4 linked regions of the Drosophila melanogaster genome follow. The protein of the gene in region 1 binds, or shares a complex with, the protein of each later gene. Each region holds a gene or a part of one and is shown in the gene's direction. Other genes may lie near its edges. The genes, in order: Nup188, Nup153, Nup107 and Nup205.

What was found.
Region 2: Nup188 (region 1) and Nup153 share a complex: the UniProt entries of both Drosophila melanogaster proteins name them as parts of the nuclear pore complex.
Region 3: Nup188 (region 1) and Nup107 share a complex: the UniProt entries of both Drosophila melanogaster proteins name them as parts of the nuclear pore complex.
Region 4: Nup188 (region 1) and Nup205 share a complex: the UniProt entries of both Drosophila melanogaster proteins name them as parts of the nuclear pore complex.

What each region holds. Positions count from the first base shown.
Region 1 is NT_033778.4:12,680,147-12,687,915, reverse strand, and holds the start of Nup188 (nucleoporin 188kDa), read left to right. Parts: upstream 1-1,736; 5' UTR 1,737-1,843; coding exon 1,844-1,869; intron 1,870-1,931; coding exon 1,932-3,169; intron 3,170-3,241; coding exon 3,242-3,351; intron 3,352-3,410; coding exon 3,411-4,375; intron 4,376-4,431; coding exon 4,432-6,502; intron 6,503-6,563; coding exon 6,564-6,718; intron 6,719-6,775; coding exon 6,776-6,989; intron 6,990-7,049; coding exon 7,050-7,769. Other genes in the region: CG13148 (uncharacterized protein), read right to left, coding at 1-77, 136-319, 837-909. UniProt on the Drosophila melanogaster protein: Component of the nuclear pore complex (NPC), a complex required for the trafficking across the nuclear envelope. Required for proper protein transport into the nucleus.
Region 2 is NC_004354.4:16,597,435-16,602,270, forward strand, and holds the start of Nup153 (nucleoporin 153kD), read left to right. Parts: upstream 1-1,806; 5' UTR 1,807-2,205; exon of another isoform or gene 2,206-2,289; 5' UTR 2,290-2,720; coding exon 2,721-2,879; intron 2,880-2,945; coding exon 2,946-3,461; intron 3,462-3,519; coding exon 3,520-3,764; intron 3,765-3,941; coding exon 3,942-4,836. Other genes in the region: CG9784 (uncharacterized protein), read right to left, coding at 1-808. UniProt on the Drosophila melanogaster protein: Component of the nuclear pore complex (NPC), a complex required for the trafficking across the nuclear envelope. Functions as a scaffolding element in the nuclear phase of the NPC.
Region 3 is NT_033779.5:10,732,793-10,737,937, reverse strand, and holds Nup107 (nucleoporin 107kD), read left to right. Parts: upstream 1-1,866; 5' UTR 1,867-1,992; coding exon 1,993-4,165; intron 4,166-4,229; coding exon 4,230-4,594; 3' UTR 4,595-4,645; downstream 4,646-5,145. Other genes in the region: CG12299 (uncharacterized protein), read right to left, coding at 1-50; Vha16-5 (vacuolar H[+] ATPase 16kD subunit 5), read left to right, coding at 981-1,562; Dpy-30L1 (Dpy-30-like 1), read right to left, coding at 4,716-5,120. UniProt on the Drosophila melanogaster protein: Plays a role in nuclear pore complex (NPC) assembly and maintenance. Required for nuclear import of Mad. Mediates the association between the nuclear pore complex and a subset of active chromatin regions adjacent to lamin-associated domains.
Region 4 is NC_004354.4:19,850,530-19,858,245, forward strand, and holds the start of Nup205 (nucleoporin 205kD), read left to right. Parts: upstream 1-1,684; 5' UTR 1,685-1,818; coding exon 1,819-2,040; intron 2,041-2,119; coding exon 2,120-2,443; intron 2,444-2,530; coding exon 2,531-2,632; intron 2,633-2,722; coding exon 2,723-3,285; intron 3,286-3,349; coding exon 3,350-3,850; intron 3,851-3,906; coding exon 3,907-5,458; intron 5,459-5,558; coding exon 5,559-6,943; intron 6,944-7,006; coding exon 7,007-7,716. Other genes in the region: pico, read right to left, coding at 334-483. UniProt on the Drosophila melanogaster protein: Plays a role in the nuclear pore complex (NPC) assembly and maintenance, but with limited role in NPC permeability. Required for specific nuclear import pathways such as Mad import.

The sequences.
Region 1 (7,769 bases):
CCTTTGCGGCGGAGTAGCGAAATCCCAGTCGCTGTAGTTGCCGGGTGCAGTGCAGCCAAAGAGCAGTCCGTTTTTGTCTGTAAGGGAGTTACTTTTACAAAGATGTCTTTACGGTGGAATAAAAACCTTGCTCACCTGCCCTCTGTAAAGCTACCCTCCATGGGACCGCGTATGTGAATCAATGCCCTGGTGGCCTCTGTGGTCCAAGCACGCTCGTAAGGACCACGTCCCACATTATTGCCTGCCCCTGAGGTATCTGCCTCCTCGAGCAAGCAATCATCATCCAGGTCATCCAAATCATCGTCACTTATTTGATAGGCTATGGAAATAAAAGAAATAAGTTACCTTTAATTATTGTCCTTGTTTTGAATAATATAAAAGCTTACAGATTATAATAATTATATTTGATACCCCTTTATACACTACGAAATTAACTAACGAAATCGAGGTAGTTCTAGCCTTATCTGATTTAGCTTAAGTTCAAAAACTTGTTGCTTTTGGGCAGCAGTGGCATCTCTGGCGCTCTCGCAGCATCCTTTCAGACATTTCTCTCTCTTTGTTATCCTGCTCTCATGCTCGCTCTCCCGTTTAAGTTATCACCCAACGCCAGGCCAAAAAGCATCCTAGCTATGTCAAAGATGCTAGCTGCTGCTGACATACACCTTTATGATACATACATATATACCTACATATATCCTGATACATGACACACACTATGTGCGTAGGTATGCACATATGTCCTTCCACTAGGACTGTGCAGACCAACACTTGTGCACTTTCCGGGCAATCACTCAATTTTCTATTATGATTTCACAATTGCCAATCGGCAGACTTACGTTCATTATCCTCGACATTATTTCCGTTGCTAGGGGCTTGCCCATTTCCTGCGTTGAGCTGAACTTGAGCCATTGCGGCTATCAGACTTTTGAAGTCCAATCTGCCTTTTCTGCCAGAATATGAGCAATTTTAGACCTTTCGCCTGTCAATAGTTTTCTCGTACTAACAGGACAATTTTCGGGCTGCAGCTTCCAGGCGCCGTGAACGTGAACTTCGAGTGCGCCTACTCTCTCGCGCCTTCTCCGCTCCTCTCTCGCTCGCTCTTAGATCTGGAAAAGATGGGAGGCTGCGGCTAGCCGAGGAGTAGTGGTATTAGTTTCCAAGAAATGGGCCTCTAGAATGGCGTGGTTGGGTGGCTGGGCGGTGCAGTGGGCGCCGGAGTGCAGCATCTGCGCACTTTGCACTCTGACTTCGCAGGTCTGTTAGCCGCAGCCACAGCCTCACTGGAATGGCTTTATGTGATTGGAAAGTCTAACCTAAATAGTTCTAGTCCGGCTGGATTGGAAGGCTATTTATGAAATATTTGGGAAATATCAAGATCTGAATGCTAAATGCATGTGTCAAGTTATGATTGAAGGGCCACATGCGAACGTCTATATTTGAAACCTATAAAATAGGTTTCTAAACCTATTCGCGTGAAATATATACCAATTTAACTGTAATGCTACAATAATAGATAAATAATGGGGCGCACACGTGCTTTCCATGTATATTTTATTTGTATAAATCTATAAGCGATCATCAGATCTAAGATGTCATACCTTGATTTAAGTAAGATTTAGTAAGCTAAAGAAAATGTATAAAGTACTGTATCACAATTTTCTAACTGGCTTTTTAAAACAAGAACTATCGTTTTATCGATACACCTTCGGTGTTACCAGCTGATTGTCCCGGCATTTTATTGTGCTAGGTGGCAACTCCAACGCCGCGAATTTGCGCGTGGAACAGAATACATTTGTTATTAAATAATTTTTTATTGTAGTTGTTAAGAGACAGAGCCTAGACAATGCCTGCGGTGGAAAAGAGCGTGATGTGAGTATCGGCAGTGCGACAATATTGAATGACTAAATAAAATCCTTCGATTTGCCATGTAGCACCGATTGGAAGCGCCTGTGGCCGATGGTCTCAGGAATCCACTATGAGACGCCGCAGGATACTGTACGTGAGGAGCTGATGAACGTGGCTTCTGAATTGCAGGCTGGAGTGCTCCAATTTAAGCCCAAGAATGCCTCCAGCCTCGAGCTGGGCACGTTGCTCAAAGAGAAAAAGCAGGAAAAGCTGCTGCCCTTCACCGAACGACTGCAGGATCTGTTGGATCTAGAATCCGCCCAGTGCTGGGAAATCCTTTGCTACTACCTTACGCAGGAGTACCGTGGATCGGCGAGTCTCCTTACCCAACTAATCTCTACCGAAACGAATATGGCCAAACTGCACGAAGACATACGGCATTACTACTCCCTGGAACGCATGGTTGTCCTCAAGATTGTTAAGAATCTTATCGTCTTTCACCAGGTACCGAATCATCCCTATCACCGGGAGTATCGCGCCGTGGTCGAAAAGATAACCATCCCCCGCCTTAGAGATTCATACCTAGACCAACTGGAGAGCCTTATTTGCGAAGTCCCACCCAGAAAGCTAATGGCGGGAGAATGCTTCCACTCTGCGGAACGCTTAGTTGCCTGGTCGGAGCGAAATGCTCGTGAGATCAACGAGGTGCTGCACATCCTTCTGGTGCTAGCGGAACACCTGCCCATGGGGTTGGAGCAGATAAAGAGAATATTTGCCGCCTGCAAGCAACACTCCTTTGGAAAGATGCAAAGTTATCTGGATGACAGCCAACCTTACCATCAGGAGATTATTCGAAGCCTTTCTTACTCAGAGCTAATGTTAGTTTTAAAGTGCCTCGACTTTGAGAAGCCCGAGAAGCATTCCGATCTAATTGAAAAGCTTATAGAGGATCTGCAGGTTGATATTGCCAGCATGTACCACAGACCAGAGCATGGCCCTTTGCTCCTAGCGTGGATGCTGCTTCGCTTGCGAGGCACCAACGATGCCGACGATGCCTCCAGCTTGCTCCGCTGTCGGCAGCTGGGCAAGCGAGCCGTGGATCTTAAGTGTTTTGTCCAACTGCACCTAATTGCCAGACATTCTATGTACGCCGATGACTCTATGCTGTCACGGATTGTGCGAAGAACCATATACAACCAGGTTGGATATCTGTGCGACCTCTTCGACGGCGATGGCAGCTGCGCTCGGTATGAGGGCATTTACGAATTGCTCTGCGAACTTGTCTCATGGCCACACTTAGCTAAAGACTTTTGCAGTCGGGAAGGTCAGTATCATATAATCAAAAGAGCTTAACCGAAAAAATTAGTTTAGAACGAACAACTTTACATTTATCTAGATGATGGTCCGTGTTCGCTGTACAAAACTCTTTTAGAGAACTTCCCTCTAGAATTAACACATCTGTCCAAACTGGCACTGTCACTGACAAAAGCGGGACAAGGCAACTATGTAAGCCAATACTTGTACACTCAAAGGCATCAGTTAAAATTATTTTAACAATCTTGCAGGTCAAGAGCCAACTAGAGGCTTTGCCCATATTGGCTCTTCGTTACGACGAAAGTCAGCACAAACTCAGAGAAGTGGACACAAATGAATTCGAGCTCCTGGCCAGCGTGCAACCATTTCAGCAAATTGATTTTACCATACCCGCAGGAACTAGTTGCACAGCCATCCAACATCCGTCCGGCTGCTTTATGCACTTTCGTTTCCCGGTAAACTACTTTGACGCGCTGCACCACGAAATTAACTGCCTGCTACGCGAGACGGGTCACCTGCATGGTGACTTTGAATCGAGCGAACGCATACGCAATGTAGAAGCTGGTTTAAGATTTTTGGAAAGTGCCGTTAAGCTCAGTCAATCGATATCCGGCATCAGCGCCGAAATGGTGCATCCTACCGAGATGTGCGTTGATCTGCTGCACACGTTCAAAAGCGTTCAATACCCACCGGTTGGACTTTTGTCTAGCTGTCTCAATGTTTGCACTGCGCTGCTGCCGTTGGTAGACGAGGAAATCTTTTCGCGGATAAGCAACCTACACATCTTGCCAACAGTAAGCCCGGGATCTCACTACGACTTCAAGATGTATGCCAATGCCAATGGAGTGGGCTTTGAGTCGCGCTTTTTAGGCTCCGTCATTGATAATGTGGAGAAGAAAAGGGAGCGCTACGAATTCTTGCTTTCATACATTGGGTTCCTGCGAGCGTACTCCAACCTGAAACGGAATCGCCAAATCCAGATGGAGATTCCCGGCCTTATATTCCTGTTAAAGGATGTTTTCCCGCACTTGCACACCTGGCACTTTAGCTCTCAAGTGGAGAGAAACAAGATCTACTTCGAGATTCTTAGCTTTATATGCGACATCCTGGACTTGTTTAACACTGCTAAAGAATCTAATTGCAAGCAACGCGAACTTTTGGTAAAGGTGTGCGTCTATTCCCTTCTAAATTTGGAAAATGGTCTGATTCTTTTGAGGTAAGAGCTACCGTAACTCCAACCAAGAATAAATTTAAATAAAATGTATATTTTAGATTTGTTGGTGTGGGCAATGCTTATGTCCAGTACACCATGGAGCTAGAGACAAATTGGATGCAGCAGCAACCTCACGGCTTAATGATGTTAGTCCGTCTATCCATGCGTATCCTGATGCAGTTACTGCGCCTTAAAGAAGAGGTATATGGAAACAGTGAGACCCTTTCCCCGCTGGAGGCGTTGATATACACACAACCCAAACAGCGTGATACTCTGCGGATCATACCTACAGTATGCAGTTACATGAGCAACATATTTGATAGATGGCTACCGATTCTGTCTTGCCGCCTGCTGAAAAGAATCGCTCTCCAGTTCAATATGTCTCTCTTGGCCTGTCTGGACATGGAGGCTGATCAAATCCGATTGACGTTTATGCAGAAGTTGCCTGATGAGCTAGAAAGTGATTCCATAAAGATAGCCATCCTTGAGCTGGTGGACGCATGCATTGCCAAGCAACCGGGTGTTACCGAGGCATTTTTCAAGGTTAACTATGCCCTTGATAAACGTTCCCGGTCATTTTTCAGTAAGGATTGTGTTCCCAATATTGGCGAGAGTATTGTCACTTATATGAGAGACTTTCTGGACGCCCTTCAAGTGGATCCATTAACCATTCAACAGGCCTTGCCCGCTAAGATCATGACCATCTTCCACTCAATGTGGAAACATAATCTGCAAATGCTAGTGGATGATCTAGTGAAGGATAAACAGTTTTGGAAAAAACTCTGTTCGCCGCTCTTTTCCGAGCTACAGCCAAATTTACGAATCTACACTCAGCTTCTAAATATTATATCCATTGAAGTCTATACGGGAAATGGAAACAATGCCGCTTTGCTTGACGTCATGAATAAGTTCTTTGAACAGAAGAACTTTGGACCTTGGCTTAATTACGTCTTTAACATGCCCAAGGTTCCGGCTGTAAAAAATTTGAGTTCTTCCGACCATTTGCCCGACTGGATCTGTTGCCTGCAGGCTTTTAAGGATCTTATTGTAATTTTGCTAAAGAAACAGCCAAAGTTCGTGACCATACCCGAGTCGCAGTTTAAGCTAATGGCGCAGAAGTGTCTGGTTGTCCTGGTTGATCGCTCAAATTATTTGGAGGACATGCGGCCGTTCATCATACTGGCTGAACTGTATGTATTCATCTTACTGGAATTTAAGCACGCGTACACAGACAGTTTAGAGGAGGAACAGACACTAATGGACCTACTGTTGCAACTGATGAACCGCATCTGTGCGTGCTATGAGGATCAGCACGTAAGGGCCAAAGAGGCATGCCTGGCCATTGTGACCAAGTGCACACATCTATACACAGACCTGCTAATCAGGGACTCGTCCATAGCCTTGCGTTTTCTCAACTCAGTCGTAGGCATCATTTGCAGCGAACTGCAGCACATGGAGAACTCGGTGAGCCTGGAGAAATCGCAGGGCCTCAATAATTCGGACAGTTCAGACAGCAAGACATCCACCAACTCACTTATTCTCTGCCTGAATTTGCTAAAGGCTGTCGCTACCATATTCCACAACGACGGTCCCGGAAACTGGGATCTGCCATTTGTGTCGGTGCGTTTGTTTCAACGGCTCGTGCGCTGTGTGTCTAGAACCCTTCCATTGTTTAGCAAACAAGTTCTAAGTGTGCAGCTGCTGGATGTGCTCATTGTATTTGCCAAGGGCCACTGTTCAGTTGAGTTTCTGCATTGCGATGTGGGAGAATACTTGTGGCTGAAACTGTTGCCTCCCAGAGAACTTTTGCAGTCAAAACACGAGTTTACTAAGACGACGGCTGCGGATGCAGAAGGTTGGACCGTAGAGCAGTGGTGGCCTGTATACGCCAGAGGTATTGAGCTTGTTACCATCATTTACGAGAAGCACAAGAAGTGCTTTCTTGAAGATGCTTTTCAATTTGTGGGCATTCATGCTGTTTTCCTGGAGGATGCATTGTTATTGAGCAAACAATCCTTGGAACCGTCAGCCATGTACTTAATCAAGGCTGCTGTTAACTTAGTCGCCAGTTTGACGGAGCACCACAAAGAGTGGAAGCAAGACAGCGATCTGTCGCTTGCTAACCTAATGGTGGGTTCTGTTTTAGTTGTTCAACTAAATAATATTTTAATCGCTTAACTGAAATCCACAGCGTGCAGTTCAGAGTTTGCTGTGCCACACCTCATCTTTGTTTCACCAGCAAAAAAACTTAAAGTGTCTTCTGGCTGGTCGACGCTCCCAGCTAGAAATTCTGCGCAGCACAGAGGCTCTAATCGTTGACGATGAACTTATCTCCGCCTGCAATGAGTAAGTTAACTTGAATAATGTTGTTATACTAGACTAAATATTTCCATTTTATAACAGCCTCACGGATATAATAATTTCTTGCGTTAAAGCCTTGCTTAGATTTAGTCCGGATTTAATGGAACTACTGTGCTGCAGTGCATATGAGCCCTCCAAACACTCAATCTTACTAGACGTTAAGTTTGGTGCACCTAAGTTGAACGAAGAGAACTTAACGCTCACATTTGGAATCGTCCTCAACTTGGTAAACATATACGTAAAGGCCTTGAATATGGTATGTATATGTGGCATTATAAGTGTGTCCATTCTGTTCTAATTATTTTCAAAACATCAGCAAAATCATGGCTTCAGTGAGGTGCCATTAAACTCACTGCCCAACGTTGAGCATTCCGGGGACAACGATGATCCAGAAGTTTGTGTAGGCAACCAAACCAACCGCACCTTCTCCAAGCCTCTGTCCAATGTCTCGATTTCAACCGGAACCTGTCCAGCCAGTGAGCTGCTCTCCAACATGGACGGCCAGCTTTGTTTGCTTGCATTGGAGCATCTGCTCATGCTGGTCGCTTCGCAAGCCATCTGTATAATTCGCTCACCGAACCTCGAAACGCTCTGGAAGCAAATCGTGCGTCGGGACATCAGCAACGAGTTGTTAATCTTCAACGAGTTCGTGCGCCGCAAGGTGATATTAGACTACAAAGAGAACCGTAGTCCCTGGCTACGACGAAAACACGGGCTCTGTAAGCTGAAGTGCGTGGACCCAGTGAGGAGTTCAAGCAGTTCTTCCCGCAGCTCAGAAATTGTGCGCCGCAGCAACACAAATAACGAACTGCGAGTTAATGTCGTACGCAGACTGCATCTGCAGCAACAGCAGCGAACTCCTCCACCGCAAAACTTTGACATGAGCAGCGATCTGAGTCCCATTGCGGCAGCTCAAGGTGCAGCCATGACGACGAGCTTGGATGGCCGAAAGCGTTTGTATCCCGCTCAACAGGCGGGCGACGCGTTCTTGGAGGACGAACTGGCCGCCATCGAACTGCAATACTTTCCCCCGCCC
Region 2 (4,836 bases), on another chromosome or scaffold:
GCTCCTGCAGAACCTGAAAGGCCAGCTGCGACTTCTCGCGAACTTGATACAATTGATCCCGCTGGATAAGGGCCTCGTGCTGGGACTCATCGCGTACCAACTCGCGCACTTCCGTCGAGGAATCGCTGCCCTGCAGTCGGAAGTTCAGATCGCCAAACCAGAAGACATAGTCGTGATCGTAGATCTCCCTATACCGCTTGACGTGGTAGTGATGGTTCTCCAGTATCTGCTTGTAGTCCTCGATGCGCTCGTCCATCATATGGTCATGGGCAGTCAGATGGGCCACCACAAAGGCCAGTCCGCAGCCGTAAAGGGTGAACCTGACACTGACGGCGCCCTTGTTGCCCCAAATGCCACCGAAACCGGTCCTCGTGAACTCCGCCTCGATGTCCTGCAAGTGCTCAACGTGCTGCCGCCTCACGAACATGCTGAGCAGCAGCCCCTGCATCTGCTCGGTCTTTACGGCCACATAGTCGTAGTTGCGTAGCAGTTCCTTAGCCTTGTGCGTCCACGGATCCTCCTTGAACAGTCCCAACACCTGTTGCTGCGGCTGGGCATTGACCTCCTGGAGCCCCAACGCATAGATGTCCGGCAAGTGGGCATTAGTCTCCTTCGTGTCCTTATCCACCGTCACATCCTGCAGTCCCAGCAGATGGCGGAGGGATATGTTATCCGGAAATCGACTGCCCACATTCCAGGTGACCACATATACCCGGTAAGTTTCCAGCTGTTGCTTCCCTTTGCCCTTCGATCCGTCCGGCTCCGAGTCCGGAATCTTGGGTGTCTTGCTAGCCTCCGTTTGGCTCATTGTTGCTGGACTTGACAAATCGAAGAGATTAACCCAACTGGCTGCTCACAGCAATCAAGTTGTTTACCCAACCGATTAAGGTTTTATTGTGTAAGTCGATTCTTTATGCCTTTGTGGATTTTGTTGCTCCAATCTGGGTTGCTGGTTAAGTTGGGTGGTGAACAGCGGCGAGGGCGGTCGGTAATTGCTGAAAATATTGCAGCACAAATAGTTTTTAACACTTGTTTGCCCAGCAGCAGCAACAACAACAACTGTGCTACAACAACACGACGAACACAATAACAACAACTAGGGATGGCAAAACTGAGAAGATGACGATATCGACTAGCGGTATTTATTTTCCAGCCCTAAAAATGTAAATTTCTTAGACGTTAAGAGGTAACATATTTGATTCATCTAGTAGTAAATTCAAGTTGTTTTAAAATGGCTTGCTAAAATTGAACCAAAACAATATGGTTTCCCCTATAACCCATTTTTTAAGATTTATTTAACATTTATACTGTATAATTTCTTTGTCATATTTGCACCTTAATAAGGGCTTTTATATTTGGCGCTCATATTATGTTCGTTTATTATATTTGCTTTATTTCTAATGCAGAATCTGTGGTCACTCTAGCACTCGCTGAATTTTAACTCGCTGGAAATTCTTTTTAGGACAACTATCGATTAACATTAGTACAGTATTTAAACTTTTGCATTATCACACAGCCAAGTAAAAACCTAAACAAATACCTCACTCCAACTTAAAGATACAAACGAGAATTCCTTTTAGTCAATGCAAATGCTTAGTATTCAAATGACAACACAAGCAAATGGTTACATATGTTATAAGTCGCACTTGAAGCGGTTCTTGAGTAATAAGCCCGTATGGCAGTTCATCACCAATTAAAAATATTTAATAATTACAGACTTCCAAACCGTAAACGTGCATGTAACCGATAGCTGCAGGCAACGTATCGATTAGCACACGCTGCCCGACACGCCGATAGTATCTGACAAACATCGATTTTGGTTCCAGCTCTACTTTGTGGCCACACACGCGTTTTTTCCCCAATCAAATCGTGCTCTTTTGAAATTCTGTTTCTTGCAAATCGGTGGTGCGTGTTCTCGTGCAACAATGGAAAACCTGAATGCGACCAGCGGCAAATGTTAAATTGCAATTAAAAGTGTGGATTTCGCGGCGGTAAAACGCCAAAATTCGTACCGAATCGCTGCGCGCGTGTGTGTGTGAGCAGAGCGTGAAGAAGAGGAACGAAGAATTGCGAAAGCAGTGTGTGCGGAAGAAGTGGAAGAAGCACAAAGACAAAAGGAAGGTGAAAATATATCAAATATATATCAAATCTATCCGGCAAAAGTAAAACAAATATTGAAGAAAACGGGCGGCATGCTGGAAAGCGGTAAGGGCAAAGCCAAAAGCAAGAACCTCGAGCGCTTCGCCCGAATTCGGTATTCAATCCTTTTTCCCGCCTCTAATTTTGCAGTGCTTGTGCCCAGAATTTGCTCTTCATTGGTGGCCAAGAAGTCAAATCCTGATCAAACGCGACCAGTTTGTGGCGCCAAACAGAATATTATTTAAAAATATCGCGGCGTGTGTAAAACCTCGGCGAAACGCGAACAAAAAAAACCACGACGGCGTGCGTAAGCGCACTCACACCTTTGCACACGCACAGACAGAGAGAGAAGGCAGGATAGAGAGTGAGAACGAAGCGAGTGAGCGAACATTATCCGCACCTACACATACAAACTAGCTCGCAGGAATTGCAACAGTGTGTGCTTTTTTTTTGGTTTTTTTTTTTACTTACGTTTTTTGTTGTGTGTGCGGCAACGCTTCTTTTTCGCGTTTTTTTTGCATCTCTCTTTTGTGCCGTTGCTTCGCCGGCTAAAAAGGTGAGTCTGAATCTAAAGCGGCATAATGGAGGATGCACAGGAGCAAAGGGAATCCTCGCAAGCCGAATTGGCCAAAAAGCATCCGCTGACGCCGCTCAAGGAGCTGCCTGAAGAAAGCGAGGAGGAGGAGGAGGAAGAGGATGAATCCTCGGCGGGAGCCCTACGGGAGTCTGACAGCAACAACGTAAGTACAGTCGACGATAACTTGGTTCCCATCAAATATCCAACTTCCGTGCAATTGCAATTGCAGTCCATCATGGGGAAGATGAAGATGCGCGTGTCCAGCATTCTGCCCGCCTCCTTGAGCGGTTGGTTTTCGCCGTCGTCCAAAGATGGGAACGATGCCTTATCCTCCCCAGCTAATCTCCGCCAGTCACAGCCACGCCAGTCCAATGGACGCCTCACTACCAAGCGGAAACGAGGACGCCGTCGGATAATGCTAGCCGAAGTGGATGCCGATGCAGCCGATGATCTTGATGACGGCTCCGATGCCAAAGGCCTCAACTATGAGGAGGTGGCCCTGGCCGACAACATAGCCGAACACGACCTGGCCGCCGAGGATGAACAGACGCGGCGGAGCGAGTACAATGTGTTCCTGCTGCGCAAGCGAGCCGGGGCTGTTGCAGCTGCCGGCGGTGACGAGGATGAGGCCGAGGAGGATGAACTGGAAGAGGACGACGAGGATGGCGATGAGGAGGATGACGATGAAGAGCAGGAGAATCTCCAACAGTCCGCCGCCGTGCAGACCAAGCGTCGACGCCTGGAGGTAAGATCACATCTTCAATCCTGTCTACATTTCCCAACTAATCTTGAATCCCTTTCAGCTGGAGACCCCCGTCAATTTGCCGAACATGCGTCGTCTGCCCCTTTTGTCATCCACGCCTGCTGCTCCGCTCGCGGCTGCCACCAGCTCCTCCAGCTCCCAGATGTACAAGGGCGTCAGCCACATTGCGCCACATCGGCGCAATCACCTCAATTTGTATGGTAGTCAACGGCAGCGCGAACCCGCGTACAACTTTTTCACGGGCAACGAAGCTGCCGAGGGAAGCACCGGGGATCTGCCACACAGGTATGTTACTGCAGTCATGCTTACTAAAAGTGTTAATATGGAATTCAAAAAGATAACTACCTTAGAGCTCGTTTCAAACAAACTCAAATTTGGGCGTTGCATAGCCAGGCTATTGCCAAGACGAAAAAGAAGAAAACCTTAGTGAAAATTATAAGGCAATCATTTAAATCATTTTAGCATCCGCCGTTCACTGAACATACCTTTCGGAGGCAGCAGCACCGCTACCAGCTACAACAACAGCCTATCCAGCCTTCCTAACCACAAGCGACCATCGCTCATAGGCAAGCAAACCCATCGACGCGATCTTACCATGGATGAGACGGGGACTGGCCCGGCCATGAGTTCGGAAGAACATCTCAATCATTTGCTGAGAATAAGCAGGACCAACAACAATACTAGCAACAATAATAATAATAATAATAACAACAACAATGTCATTGAGACAAAAACAAGACGAAGTGAACTGTCTGCGGCCGCAGGAGGTTGCGGTGATTCGCAGTCCGAGAGCGATATGAACGAATACCACGACAATGGTGAAGGGCACGACGGACTTCGTCCGTCGCATTACAACAGCAACAGCAATTTAGAATTTTACGGAAATCTGCAGAGCTCCAAGTCAATATTTAACAGAAGCAACACCGCCGCACAGCAATCGCATCGGAATTCTACGTGGTCGCTGAATTCCCTTACCCAACGACGTCGCTTCAATGCGTCCATATACGGCAGTACGTCGGCACTGAGCGACAGTCGTCTGCTTAGTGGCAGTGCCTCTAACTCAGGCTCTGCATCTGCCTCTAGCTCGCCCTTTTACCAGGGACGCACCACCTTCGGGGGCAATTCCGGCAACAATCGCCTCTTCAGTCGCAGCAATCTTAGCTCATCCGCCGCATCCTCAATGTTGGGACTCAATTCTGCCGGCAGCTCACCGGCGCATCAGCTGCATGCTTCCATGACTGGTGGTATTGGATACGGTATGAAAGCGGTAGATATGCGACCTTCAGACTCCGGCAGTCTTGCGGAGACATCTGTGGGCCAAGGTGGCAGTAAGAAACCCGGTACCGGGCTGTCGAAC
Region 3 (5,145 bases), on another chromosome or scaffold:
GTGATCGTCAGGGGCAGGTGGTGGTAGCTCTGTTTCAGCTGCACGGCCATCTTGCCAAAAGGCTGTGCAAATCAAACAACAAAAATCACAAGGAACACAAGCGACGAGCGTGTGAACATTTTCTCTATAATAAAAATGCGCGTTTGCGGGGAGAAAAATCAATGCCGTACCTTGGGTGAGATTAGATGCGAAGTGCCGTGGATCAGGGGTTCCGTAGACTACTATTATATCACTGGTGTGTGCTGTTGCTCAGGTTCCGTGCTTTTGTGTTTCTCTCAGGGCTCTCGTCCACATTCGTCCACTGCGTTCCATTTTATGCGCCGCCAGCGAAATGCGAATAACTTGCTTCCTGTTTTCGGTGCTCGCTTGTTTTTGAATTTGGCTGCTCGGTTCCGTGGGTCGCCGGAATCGCGTACCGTCCTCCGACCCGTTGTCTGGTTAGCTGCGACTGCCAGGAGCTGCGACTCGAGCGAATGCAGCGCATCGCCCAATCGCAATTCTGCAGAGCCAAAATCGCAATTGCAAGCGTCTTCGCCGTGCGTACAACAAATAAAAGAAAAATGTTTTATGTTGGGCGGCCCTTGCACGATTGGACGGCAGCATATCGTCATGCAAGCGTTTCGTGCACGTCGCCAGCATGATGACCGATAAACCGCGCAGCTTCAAATTCAAACCGCAATCGATTGTTACATCTTTCGAAGGTTTTAAACATTTAATAATATTTAATTTAATTTCGAGTGCCTAAATCTAAGCAAGTTTTATTATTAGTGTTTAATTTCACTTAACAAGTTGCTAAAATTATTGAATTGAGCCCTAACATCTTAAATAATATTAATATTAAATATAAACTGCTCATCTCGTTCCCCTTGGATTTTCTTTCTTGCCAAACTACAGGCTAGTCAGACTAACAAGTTGGAAAATCCAGAAAGCAAGCAACGTGGATCGTTCCTTTTCAAGTAAATACGAAAAAGGCTACCAAAATGGAAATGGATTACTATCTGCCAGTGTATAACGGATCAAATTCGGTGGACGTGCCGGGGCTGATTGAAAGTCTCAAGCTGAAGGAAACCAGTATATCGCCAATCGTGCTGGATCGCTATCCGCCGTACTCCCCGTTCTATGGCGTGATGGGCGTCGTATTCTCCAGTGTGCTGACCTCCGCTGGAGCGGCCTACGGAACTGCTGTTTCCGGAACTGGAATCGCCGCCACAGCGGTGATGCGTCCCGAGCTGGTGATGAAGTCCATCATTCCGGTGGTCATGGCGGGCATCATTGCCATATACGGTCTGGTGGTATCCGTGCTCCTATCTGGGGAACTAGCGCCTGCTCCCAAATACTCGCTGCCCACCGGCTATGTACACCTGGCCGCTGGACTTTCGGTGGGATTTGCTGGACTGGCTGCCGGATATGCAGTGGGTGAAGTCGGCGAAGTGGGCGTGCGGCACATTGCCCTGCAGCCACGCCTCTTTATCGGCATGATCCTGATCCTTATTTTCGCCGAGGTGCTCGGTCTCTACGGCCTGATCATTGGGATTTATTTGTACACGGTCAACATTAAGTAGCAGAATTTGTTATATCTAAAATATTTAATTCGTTAAGAAACGTTTTTATCGATCTTTAATATTTGAAATGCCTTTTGAATTTCTTTACGCGATTGTGGTACTCATTTCAGGTACGCCGTTGCGGTACGCGATGGAGGTACCCCATACTAATGATTCTACGGAATGCTGGTACCTTATTCTTTAGCAGCTTTGCCGAATTACTAGATATGTAAACAATTTAAATCAATTTGTTTCTTACGAAATTTGCTTGAATTCAGTGAGAATCGCTTATTTACAAGTGTATGTGCAAGGGAGCTTTCTTGCTGTTCCGTCATCTGGTAACACTGAACGCTCCCGGCATTTTTAGCGAATAGCGCGTGAATTTCTGTTTTGATTAAATTAATTGAATTGATGTGCCGTAGCTGATAGCCAAGAAACGCATAGTGCAGCCATGGCCGACAGCCCGTTCCCGAGGAGCAGCCGCAGTGGCCTGCTACGCACGACGCTGAACAGCTCGATGCCGCCGCAAAATCTCTCCCACTCGCTGCTCATCCTCGAGAAGAGCAACGCGGAGCAGAATGAGCTCTCGCTGATGGAGGACACCGGCGATGATCTGGATCGGGGCAAGAGCCGCATGGACGTGCTCTTCCCGCAGTTCTTCGACGTGCTGCAGGCTCAGGGTAACGGGCAGGAGGCATTCGAGGTGATCCAATCGCTGACGCAAGTCTGTCGCGGCGTGGTGGAGCAGCTGGAGCTGGAGATCGATCACGGCATGGGTGGGGAACAGGGCGCGCGGCAACGCGAGTCTATGCTCACCTGGCTGCGACAGGAGATAAACACGTGGCGCCTGCTGCACGCCCTCTTCTACGACCGCATCCTGCTGCAGACGGACAGGCAGGCGGATGATGAGATGCAAGATGGCCCCACGCTCGGCGGCAGCGAGAAGGAGGTCATACAGCAGTTGTACGCCCTCAATGCGACGCTGCGTGAGTACCAGCTGGTGGTGGACTGGCTGGAGGCGTGCTACGACCGGGGGGAGCAACAAAACCCACTCCACGCCCACGATCGTATGATGGCGTGGGAGAACACGCTCTTCCAACTGGAGAACCTGCAGGGCGCCGCCTTTGGCAAGGGCCATAAGATCGTAACGCGTCTGGATCCAGATGCTCCCGTACGCGAGAAACGACCGTTGCACGCCCTCGACGAGGAGGACAACCTGCGCCTGTCCCGCGCCATTTTCGAATTGATACGAGCGGGACGCGTCGACGATGGCCTCAAGTTGTGCAAGCACTTCGGACAGACGTGGCGGGCGGCGATCCTTGAGGGCTGGCGTCTCCACGAGGATCCCAACTTCGAGCAGAATGTCTCGGTGCTGCACGAAAAGCTGCCCATCGAGGGCAATCCCAGGAGGGATATCTGGAAGCGCTGCGCGTGGATGCTGGCCGATTCCAAGAACTATGACGAGTACAGCCGCGCGACGGCGGGTGTCTTCTCCGGCCACTTGGGCTCGCTGAAAACCCTTTTGCACAGCAACTGGCACGATTTGCTCTGGGCCCATCTGAAGGTGCAGATCGACATCCGTGTGGAATCGGAGATACGCGGCTGCTGCCTCAAAAACTACCAACCGATGCCCGATGATTACTGGAACGGCAGGATGACGATGGAGCAGATCTTCGAGGAACTGAACGTTGCCAAGGATGCGTCGGTGCGGGATTTCGCCCAAAGTCAACTGGGCATTATCCAGCGTCATTTAATCCTGGATACTTGCGGCGAGCTGATCCAACACATGGTGCGCTGGGTGGAGAAGGATACCTCCCAACAATCGCCCCATCAATTGCGCTTTATGGCCCACATAGTGCTCTTCCTGCGTCAAATCGGCCGTGTGGAGCAGGAGCGACAGGCGGAGAAGATCGTAGCCGCATATGTGGAGGCATTGATTGCCAGGGGCGAACCGCAGCTAATAGCCTACTATACTGCATCGCTTTCGAATCCGCTGCAGGTTCAGCTCTACTCGCGGTTTCTGGAGCAAGTGGAGCAGAAGCGTCCGCGGGAGCTAGCTGTGGATGCCGCCCTGCAGGCGGGCTTGGATGTGGAACAGATCACACGCGTCACCGTGCAGAATATTCGCCTCGCACATCAGCCACTCGGGGAATTCGGTGAGCCGCAGTCCGGCGAGATCTCTGCAATCGATCAGCGCAAGATCTCAGCATTGGAGTGGCTAATCCATTTGCCGGAGCAGCGCGGTGAGTTGCTGTGGCAGGCCAACGCCATGATACGCACCTATCTGGCCAGCAGCAAGGTGGAGTGCATGCGCCAGACCTTCCGCATGGTGCCGGCCGACATAGTGCAGCAACTAGTCAGCTTGTACGGCTCGGTGGACAACATACCACCGCGTGAGGAGTGCTGCCTGAAGGAGTATCTCTGCTACAAGGCGTATCTGTCTGGCGTCGACAGTTTCGTCGAATGGAACCGCCTGCAGCAGAACAGGCCCAAGAAGCCACAGACTTCACACGCAGCTTCCTCGCAGGACAACTTCACGGAGCGCATGGCGAGTGAGCGCAAGGAGCAGGCTCACCGATCGGAAGTCGTGCGCTGGGAGCACAAGGTTAAGGAGCAGGCCAAGCGTAAGTGGATCGCATACCCATTAATGAGATCTTTTGGCATATAACCCGCATTCTTTCCCTGCAGAAACCATCGAACTCCTGTACAATGTGCTCATGTTCCCGGACAAGGGTTGGCTGGTGGATCCGTTCATCGCCAAGCTGCCCGAGAACGCCGTGCAGCTGAGCTGGGATCATCGCCTACTGCAGATGGAGAAATTGCGCTCCATCTGCATTCCTGAGATCGCCCTGTTTCTGAACGAAGTGATGTTCAAGTCGGGAGACTTTGCGGGTTGCGTGCGCCTGGCAGATGAAATATCCAGCGAGAATCGGCAGTTGTACAAAGTCTATACGAAGCACAAGCTGGCAGAGCTTCTGGCCAAGATCGCGGACGCCTCCCTGGAGCTGCTCAACTCGAAACTGGATCCATGGGGCTATCCTATAACAACTTAGCAATCCTAGTACATTTGTGTGTTTTGCGATTACATTCTAACTTTAAACGTTTATTATTTATTCACTGTTCAATTATACAACTAAGGAGGGGGACAAATGGGAGGTAGGTAGGATGGAGGGCTTAGGAGTTGTTGTCCACGGCGGCGGCGGAGGCGTTGTTCTCGTCGCACCCGTTGCTATGCTTTAGTAGGTAGGAGGCCAGGAACTGTATGGGATCCGTGGGCCGTTCGCGAGCCAGGGCCTGCATTCCGTGGAGCAGAACCGGCGCCACCGTCTGGTCGAGGTACTGTCGCGTGGGCATGTTGTTTGTCTCGCTACTGGGCTTCTTGGCCACCGCCGGCTGCTGTTGCTGCTGCGCCACTGGATTTGTGGACTGGCCAACGGCAATGGCTCCGGATGGAGGAGCTCCCGGCGCAGCGGTCGGGTTTGCTTGCGCATTGCTGCTTGCATTTGGCTCCTTGCCAGCTTCTGCCGGCGGATTTGTTGTGGGCGCTGGTGAGATGGGTGCGTCGGTCTTGGCCTCCATGGCAATGTGTTCCTTTTGTTCAGCA
Region 4 (7,716 bases), on another chromosome or scaffold:
CCGAATTTGAAGTCTTTTGATCACCTAGCACTGCATAACTAGGTTATTTTCATAGCCAAGGAGTAAAGTATACTGAATACACTCGAAAAAAAAAACACTAATAGAGAATTATAGTTAATACAATTACCAACCATATGTGAGTCTACCATTTGCACCGTTCTTACTATAATTTGAAGAAGCTGTACTTTAAAGGTATAGTTCAGTTTCTTCCTGTGTACTCTGTCCTATGACTTCTTTTTTTTTTGTGTGTGGGAGCGAATTATGAAGTACAGAGGAAATGGTCGAGCAACACAAACGCACACACACATTTGGAGAAACTTGGGAGATACTTACATTTGTTATTGTTGCTGCTTCCTCGAGGCTGTGCTGTTGTTGTTGCCGCTGCTGCTGGTGGTGTTGTTGTTGTAGCTGTTGCTGGAGTAAGTGCAGTTGTTGCTGTTGTAGTTGTTGTTGCTGATGTGCCGCAATACCACCACAATCCATAGTAATTACGGGTGCGAGGGGGCGGGGTTAAGTGTGTGTGGGAGTGGAGTGGAGTCGTCAATTGGGAGCGCACTCTCTATCTCTCTCTCTCTCTCTCCAAATCTCGCTCTCTGTATTGCTGCTCCTTCGCGCGATCGCTTACTGCAGCGGAATGAAAAGCGAAACAGACATAATTGAAGAAATGCGATAGCTCTCCGTCTTGAATTTCAACGATTCGCCGTAAGGGAGCGCTGTTAACCGCTATTTCAGTCACTGTTTGTGTCTTGTTCCTTTTTTTTATTTTTTTTTATTTTCAGCTAACTCTGCAGTTTGCCTTTGTCCATATTTTCGGTGGAAAAACCACTTCCTTGCTCTCTCGCTCTGGCTCCCTTGCTCTTCTATACCGCTCTCTCTCTCGCTCGCCAGGCGTTGCGTGGGCGAACGTAGGGGAGAGAGCAAGCGAAACGAAAAGAGAGAGGCGAACGCAGTTTGGAGTTTTATGCACTGGAGTTGTGAGTATGTTCGTGTGTGCCTGTGTGACTGCTACCCCCACACACTTGCACTGCCTCTCTTCCTCTCTGTCGCTCTCGCACACCCAGTACCAAGTACTCTGAACTCCAACTCCAGTTACAAATTCAATTCCAATTCGAATAATTCCCAATGAAATTTGAATTTTCCTTCCAATTGCACTGGCTTTGGCAGTTAGTATCCCTTTTGGCATTTATTGCAGCCGAACTGCGCCGATTGCATTTGCATTTACACTTCTACATCCACTTCCACATCCACTTGCATCGACAGCCAGAACCAGCATCCCACTATGGTGCAGTTCAGCCTGCCCGCGGCCATCGGTGATTCACTCACAATGCGAACAGGACACCACTTGGGCAGTGCGTTCGCTGGCCAAATCAAGTGGCGGAGAACAGAAAAAAAAAAAAACGCGAATCGGAACAAAACAAATGGATGCTACTATCGGGTAACTACGAAAAGTCCGTGCGTAGATTTTCACGAAAACGCCCCGCCCGCGCCGCACTGAAGTTGTGTTAGTTAGTGGTGCGACAACGCACCGATGCAGCGCCTCGATTATCGTTCGATAAGCATCGATTTTCCGATTGACTTGGTTCGAATCAACCGTTTAGCCAGCGCAGCAACCGCAGTTAGCGGGCACAAGCACCGAAGCGCGTACGAGCGTGGTGAGTTCGTACGGTGGTGAACATCTGTGTTTTCCAGTATTTGCAGCACCCAGCCCTGGTAACCGGCGCCTTGTCGCAAAGCGAAGCAATCTTGCCGCGTTTTATAGTCAATAACTGCGAATCAGCAAGAACTGCGTGAACTGAGCGAACCGCAAAACCAAGTGAAATGGATGGTGAGTGCCTGGCCAACGAGCAGATGTGCGTGGGTCGCCAAATCACTAATGCCACCCATGCGTCCACAGCTGTAATCGAGGACATGTGGACGCCGTACAAGCATTTGTACAACACTTTTCAGACCGCGGTGTCCAATCGCAGTGGCTTCACCTCGGATCTGGAGCAGTGCCTCAAGAAGTACAAGCACAACTTCAGCAACTTGCTGCGCAATCCGGTGGGTATAGCAAAACAAGCGCTTGCAGATCCGTAGATTTAACTAATTATTGATAATCCATTATTGAAAATGTCGGCAGCCGAGAAGCGAGAAGAGCCGCAATCTCCTACGAAATGCCCTCAACGAAGGCGTCCCGATGCAGGGGCATTCGCGAAAGACAAAGATGTCACAGGACCTGGCCGACGAGGCGGTCATTCTGTCCGACATGTTCGATCTGGACGAGGGTTTCGCCGTGGAGCTGCTGTGCACCGCACAGCGCCAGCAGAAGCATCATCCCGGCCTGTCCAGAGGCCTTGTCGCGGTGCTGCTCTACTACGATGGACGAAAGGCCATCAGCTGCACGCTTCGCGACATGTTCCAGGTGGTTAGCGGCGTCTCGTGGAACACCGAACTGCCCAAGGAGGTAAGTTTCGAGATTTCGACATCGCAGGCATCGCAGTGCCGCTGAAAGAGAGATTCACTGACCCTGATTATCGTTCTACGCACGCAGATCACCGGTCTGGTCACTAACTATGCCGAGAGCCTTGTCGACGGCTCTGGGATACTGGGACGCCTGCTGCAGCTGCTCGAGGAGATGGATGTCGACAAGGAGGTGGGTTTGTATGCGCCTGTTTCTGAAATTCTCTGAAATTGCATATCTTCCTTCGCAAATTGTTATTCATTTGTTGTCCAACGTTCGCAGTGCGCTATGCTGACCACAAACCGCGCGTTTGGCTCCAAGAAGCATCAGAACCAGGTGCTCGGCCTATACGAGGACATTCAACAGGCATTGGCAATGGCCCTGTTCAATTGGTCGGCACAACGCGGCCTGCCGCGACACATTGCCATTCGGCTGATGCACCAATTGGCCAACCGAAAGAACCACGACGCGGGCGGCAACATGGACGACGTGACCCTGATCATGCTGATGGCTCTGCTGTATGCGTACGATACCTCCATGCTGCTGGTCACCGAGGAACCCAATGAGCACACAACCCGACTTCCGATCTTCAGCGATCGCGAGTTCGCCGAGTGCTTCCTGGAGGAGCTGTACGCGCAGAGCAGCTGGCAAGCACCGCGCCTGAATGCCATCATTGCCTACAGCTTCGGACTAACGCTGGCCAGCCTGCGGCATGCACCTTTGCAGCTTCAGGCCACCGCCATCTCGATCATCAATCGCGATGAGATGCTCATCGACGAGGCACTGGGAGCGCAGGTATTCGTCTTCTTCCACAGCTTGCTGCTCGAGAAGGATCTGGTCTATAGGTGAGTACTGACAACTGAAGTGTCAATTGCCGATTCGCAAGCTAATCATCATTTGTGCTGACAGCACGCAGTTCTTCTACCGCCGCGTCCATCTGCTCATCACGGACTTCATCGACTTCATGAACTCCAAGGTGTCGGAGCTGCGCGGCCGAGCAGACGAGTCGTCACACACGATCATCAGCTTCCTAAACGAGGGTCTGGAACCGCCGCCCAACTTGGACTCCAACTTTGAGCTGCTCATGCTGTGCGTGGCCAAGATGCACGGCGATCCGCGCGTCACCATCAGGCTGTGCAACGAGTACTGGGGCCCCGGCGATCCCAACGGCTCTACGGCATTCAAGAACACCTCGCGCTCGGTGTCGCTGTTCAAGTTCATTAGCTTGGCCAGCGACCTGCTGCCACAGACGCTGTTCAAGGCCTACCTCAAGATGATATCCGGACTTACACGGACCGATTTCTCGGCTCGATGCGCCTTCAACATGCTTAGGGTGCCCCAGATGGCCACCGGCGGCAAGTATGCGGTTAGCTGGGATCACTTCTTCACCACCCTGGGCAACTACTATACGTAAGTGTGACTCAAATCTGGTATTGAAGATCTCTCTGAAGATCACTATCTTCTAGTTCGATGCGCAACGACTTTAACACCAACATCGGCATGAGCGGCGAGACCATTTACCGCACCCGATCGACACCAAAGGCCATTACGCAGCGAGAGGCGGAGCATCTGGTGGCCGTAATGGGCATCATACAGGCGGTGGCGGAACACGACGAGGTCTCGCGCATCATGATCTGTGACCATCCCAATTGGCAGACGCCGCAGGTGCTCCTGGGCCTGGTTGCGTGCGCCACGCCGCTTTTTTTGAAGGCGGAGATTCTGCACACGCTGGCTGCCCTGGCCAAATCGAAGGAGACGGCGCGCGTCATCTGGTTCCACCTGGAGGCCTCGCAGATTATACCCACTGTGCCCGTGTCTAGAAGCTATGCCCAGTGCAGTTTGTTGGAGGAGATGGAACAAATCGAGAGCCGTTCGGAGCAGTATAACCTGACGCGCGGCATCCTCCAATTGCTCTACACACTGATGACCACCAATCTGCCGAAGAGTTTGGGCGCCGGGCAACGGACACCGGCCTACGAAGGCTATCTAAAGTCCATGATAAATTCGGTGTTGCTCAAGTTTTACAATCGCGCGTACAAGGTTCCCTCCGAGAAGTGGCAAGTTGGCGCCCAGTGCCTGAAACTGCTCTACTACCTACTGGCCACCTATCGGCCGTCCGCAATGGATTTTCTGGAGACAGTCGATGAACCTCCCTATCCGGGCTTTCACGTTATGATGCAGCTGCAGCTGAAGTCCGAAATGTTGCAGCTGCTGCTGTGCATTGTGGAGGAGGTGCGTGAGCGGCTGGACAACTACAATCGCTTTCAGGGCAAGAAGCTACTCGAGGAGTGCTCATTGTACGCACTGCTGATCCTGGAAGCCGCATTGGCGAAACAGAACGCCTTCTTTGAGGCCCACTCGGCGGCCAATTGCCCCATTTTGCTGTCGGGCCTGAATCGCATGCTCCTGGATCTGAATCCACGCAGTCGCAAGCCCGATCACGTGCTGAATATCATTAAGTATGTAACCTATAATAGCTGGCTGCCGCGGCACGCCCTGGCCGCCATTAAGATTCTGGCTTCGGTCACCCAGCTGCCGAATGTCTCCACCCAGATTCTCAGCATGTACGGTCAGGGCAGCAATGAGAAGCTCGAGATTCGTCAGGGTTTCGTCGAGTGCCTGGAAATGGAGGTGTGCGTGGGCAAGCACGACGACGATTTGTTGGACCAACTGGCCCTCAACAATCACGTTCCGTATCTGGGATTCGGCGATGATCTGGACAATGAGCGAGAGATGAGCGGGGAACGCGAATATTCAACTATTGAATCGCAACTGGAGCTGCAGGCGGGGGATGGCGCGCTGGAGAGCAAACCGGCTAGCATTGAGCTGCAACTGAAAGAGGCCATTATCAAGCTGTTCGAGATGAATCTTAGCCAGCAGTTGCCCAACTTTGTGTACTTCCTGCTCGGCGTGGATGTGCTGCGCGAATTTATGGCCAACGGACGGCAGCACCTGGCCATCGAGATGCAAAGCTCGTGCGTGAACTCCGTAGTGCTGTTGCTGGAAAAGTACATGGATGTGAGTTGAAAGCCATTGGCCATTACTATCTATTCTAACTAACTAACTAACTAACTAACTTACCAACTTTTAACAATCAAATCAATCTCTGATATTGCAGAAACAGCGTCACAGCGATAAGTACTGCGAGCACACGGCGAGAATCGTGGAGCGCATTTACCATCTGTTCCATGGACTCTGCGCCAATCGCCGCACCGCGGAGACGATACTGCGCTACTTCCGGCTAACGTGCAGCGACTTCCTGCTGCGTCACCTACGCTCGCTGCCCTTCCGGCAGCATCGCGAGGATCATGTGCTGCACGCCATGGGCCACCTGCTCAACTGCGTCTCTATCGATGTCAAACTGGCGGCCAAACATGGCCAGATGACGCGCTTCAACCAGATGTGCGACATTTTGCTAATTGGAAACGGAATGGAGCGTTCATCCCATGGCCTGTCGATGGAATTGGGCCACAGCCTGATTTCACAGCCGTCGTCGTCTTTCCTCGCCATGGATGTGCTACCGGCCGGTGGATCGATAAGTGCCGTGGCACATGGGGCTGGTTCGGCGTCTCTCGGAGCTCCAAACACTGGGGTCAAATCACTTAAGCCATCGCTGCTGCAGGAGACATCGCAGGGACTGCATGTCACCCGACTGCTAGATATTCTCGTCCTGGAGGCGGGCACGTTGAGCCAGCCGCAGCTGGAGTTCTTCGACGGGCATCTGATCACTCAACTGCTGCGCGACTGCGAGGCATCCGCCGAAGCTGGCGCCAATTCCAGGGCCAACTTGATCAACGTGCGCAAACTGTACTACATTCTCACCGACGAGCTGTACATGGTGCAGAGCATCATTGCCAGCGGCCAGCGGAAGGCCATTTCCACGGAAATCATGCTGCTGCTCAATCACGCCGTCAACATAAATCGCGTGCGGACACAGCGCTGCGCCACGCTGGCCTTCATGGCAGCATGGGGTCAACTGGTGCAGGTGCTCTTTAGCAACATGCCCGATGCCGTGCTTCCGGCGACGCAGCGTCGCCAGCACATCATCGATATCGTCGAGAAGGTACTCATCAAGGTGCAGCCCATACAGCCCATCATCGAGATATCCGTACAGGTGAGCGAGACGGTGCTGCTGCTGCTTGCCAATTTGCGCTACTGCTGCTACCAGGCCGAGGACCAGAGCCCCGAGGATCTGGCCGCCGAGGATTCGCTCAGCAATGGCAATGGCAACGCCATCGGCAACGATTCGCAGGTGAACGCATTGTGTCTGGGCCAGAGGGCAATCGGAACTGGTTCGGATGGCGGCAGTGGAGGTGGACGGGATATCGGTTCCGGTGGCAACAGCAGCAATCTGCGATTCATTCTCAAGAACCTCGTCCAGTGGATCATGATCAGTGAGGTGAAGTCGCAGAAGCTGCGCATCAATCTGTACAGTTCGCTGCTGAATTGCCTGCGGATCGCGAAGCGACTGCGCACCGACGAGCATCTGGAGTACCAGGAGACGTAAGTGTATCCTTCTCAACAGCAGTAGCAGGCAGTTGTAGCTTTCATTCTATTTCATTGCAGATTGATTTCGCGCCAGGAGAGTGCACGCACGTACAACAAGGAGCAGCGGCGCGACGATCGCCTGCGGCTGAAGGCCATGGCGGCGGAAGTGATTGGCACGTTCGGCGAGAAGCTGATCGACACCATCTGCCACGATGCGGTGACCGGCCACGATGTGTGCCGCATGCTGGCGCTGGCCTGCCTGGACATGATCTCCGAGCTGCAGGCGGTGAGCACGCTATGCGACTTTGTGGCATCGCGTGGCTACCTCAAGCACATACTGGAAAGCCTTGATCAGTCCAGTACGGCGCTTTGCGGGATTCTGCAGCCCGTGCCGGATCACCTGAGGCCGCTCTACGTCTACGAGTCGCGCATGGCCTTCCTCACGCGCATGGCGAACAGCAATGTGGGAGCCCGGCTCCTCCTCACCGAGCAGGCGCTGGGCGTGCTTTCGAATATGAAGGTCTATGACCAGCAGCCCGACCTGAAGTCCAGCGAACTGAATCGTAACGAGCCGCAGACCTTCCTCCCGTCCATCGATGACCGCTTCCGGTCGATCCTCCTGCCGGCGCTGAGCCTCTGCGATGCCATTGTCAACTCGCTGGGTCCGCGCAACAACTCCGCCGCCGTGCAGGTGCTTAACTTTCTGTTCGCCCACATCGACATGGTCGAGGCCATGTTGCGCTCGGCCACGCCGTATATGGACCTCGGCCACCTGCAGCAGGTGGCGG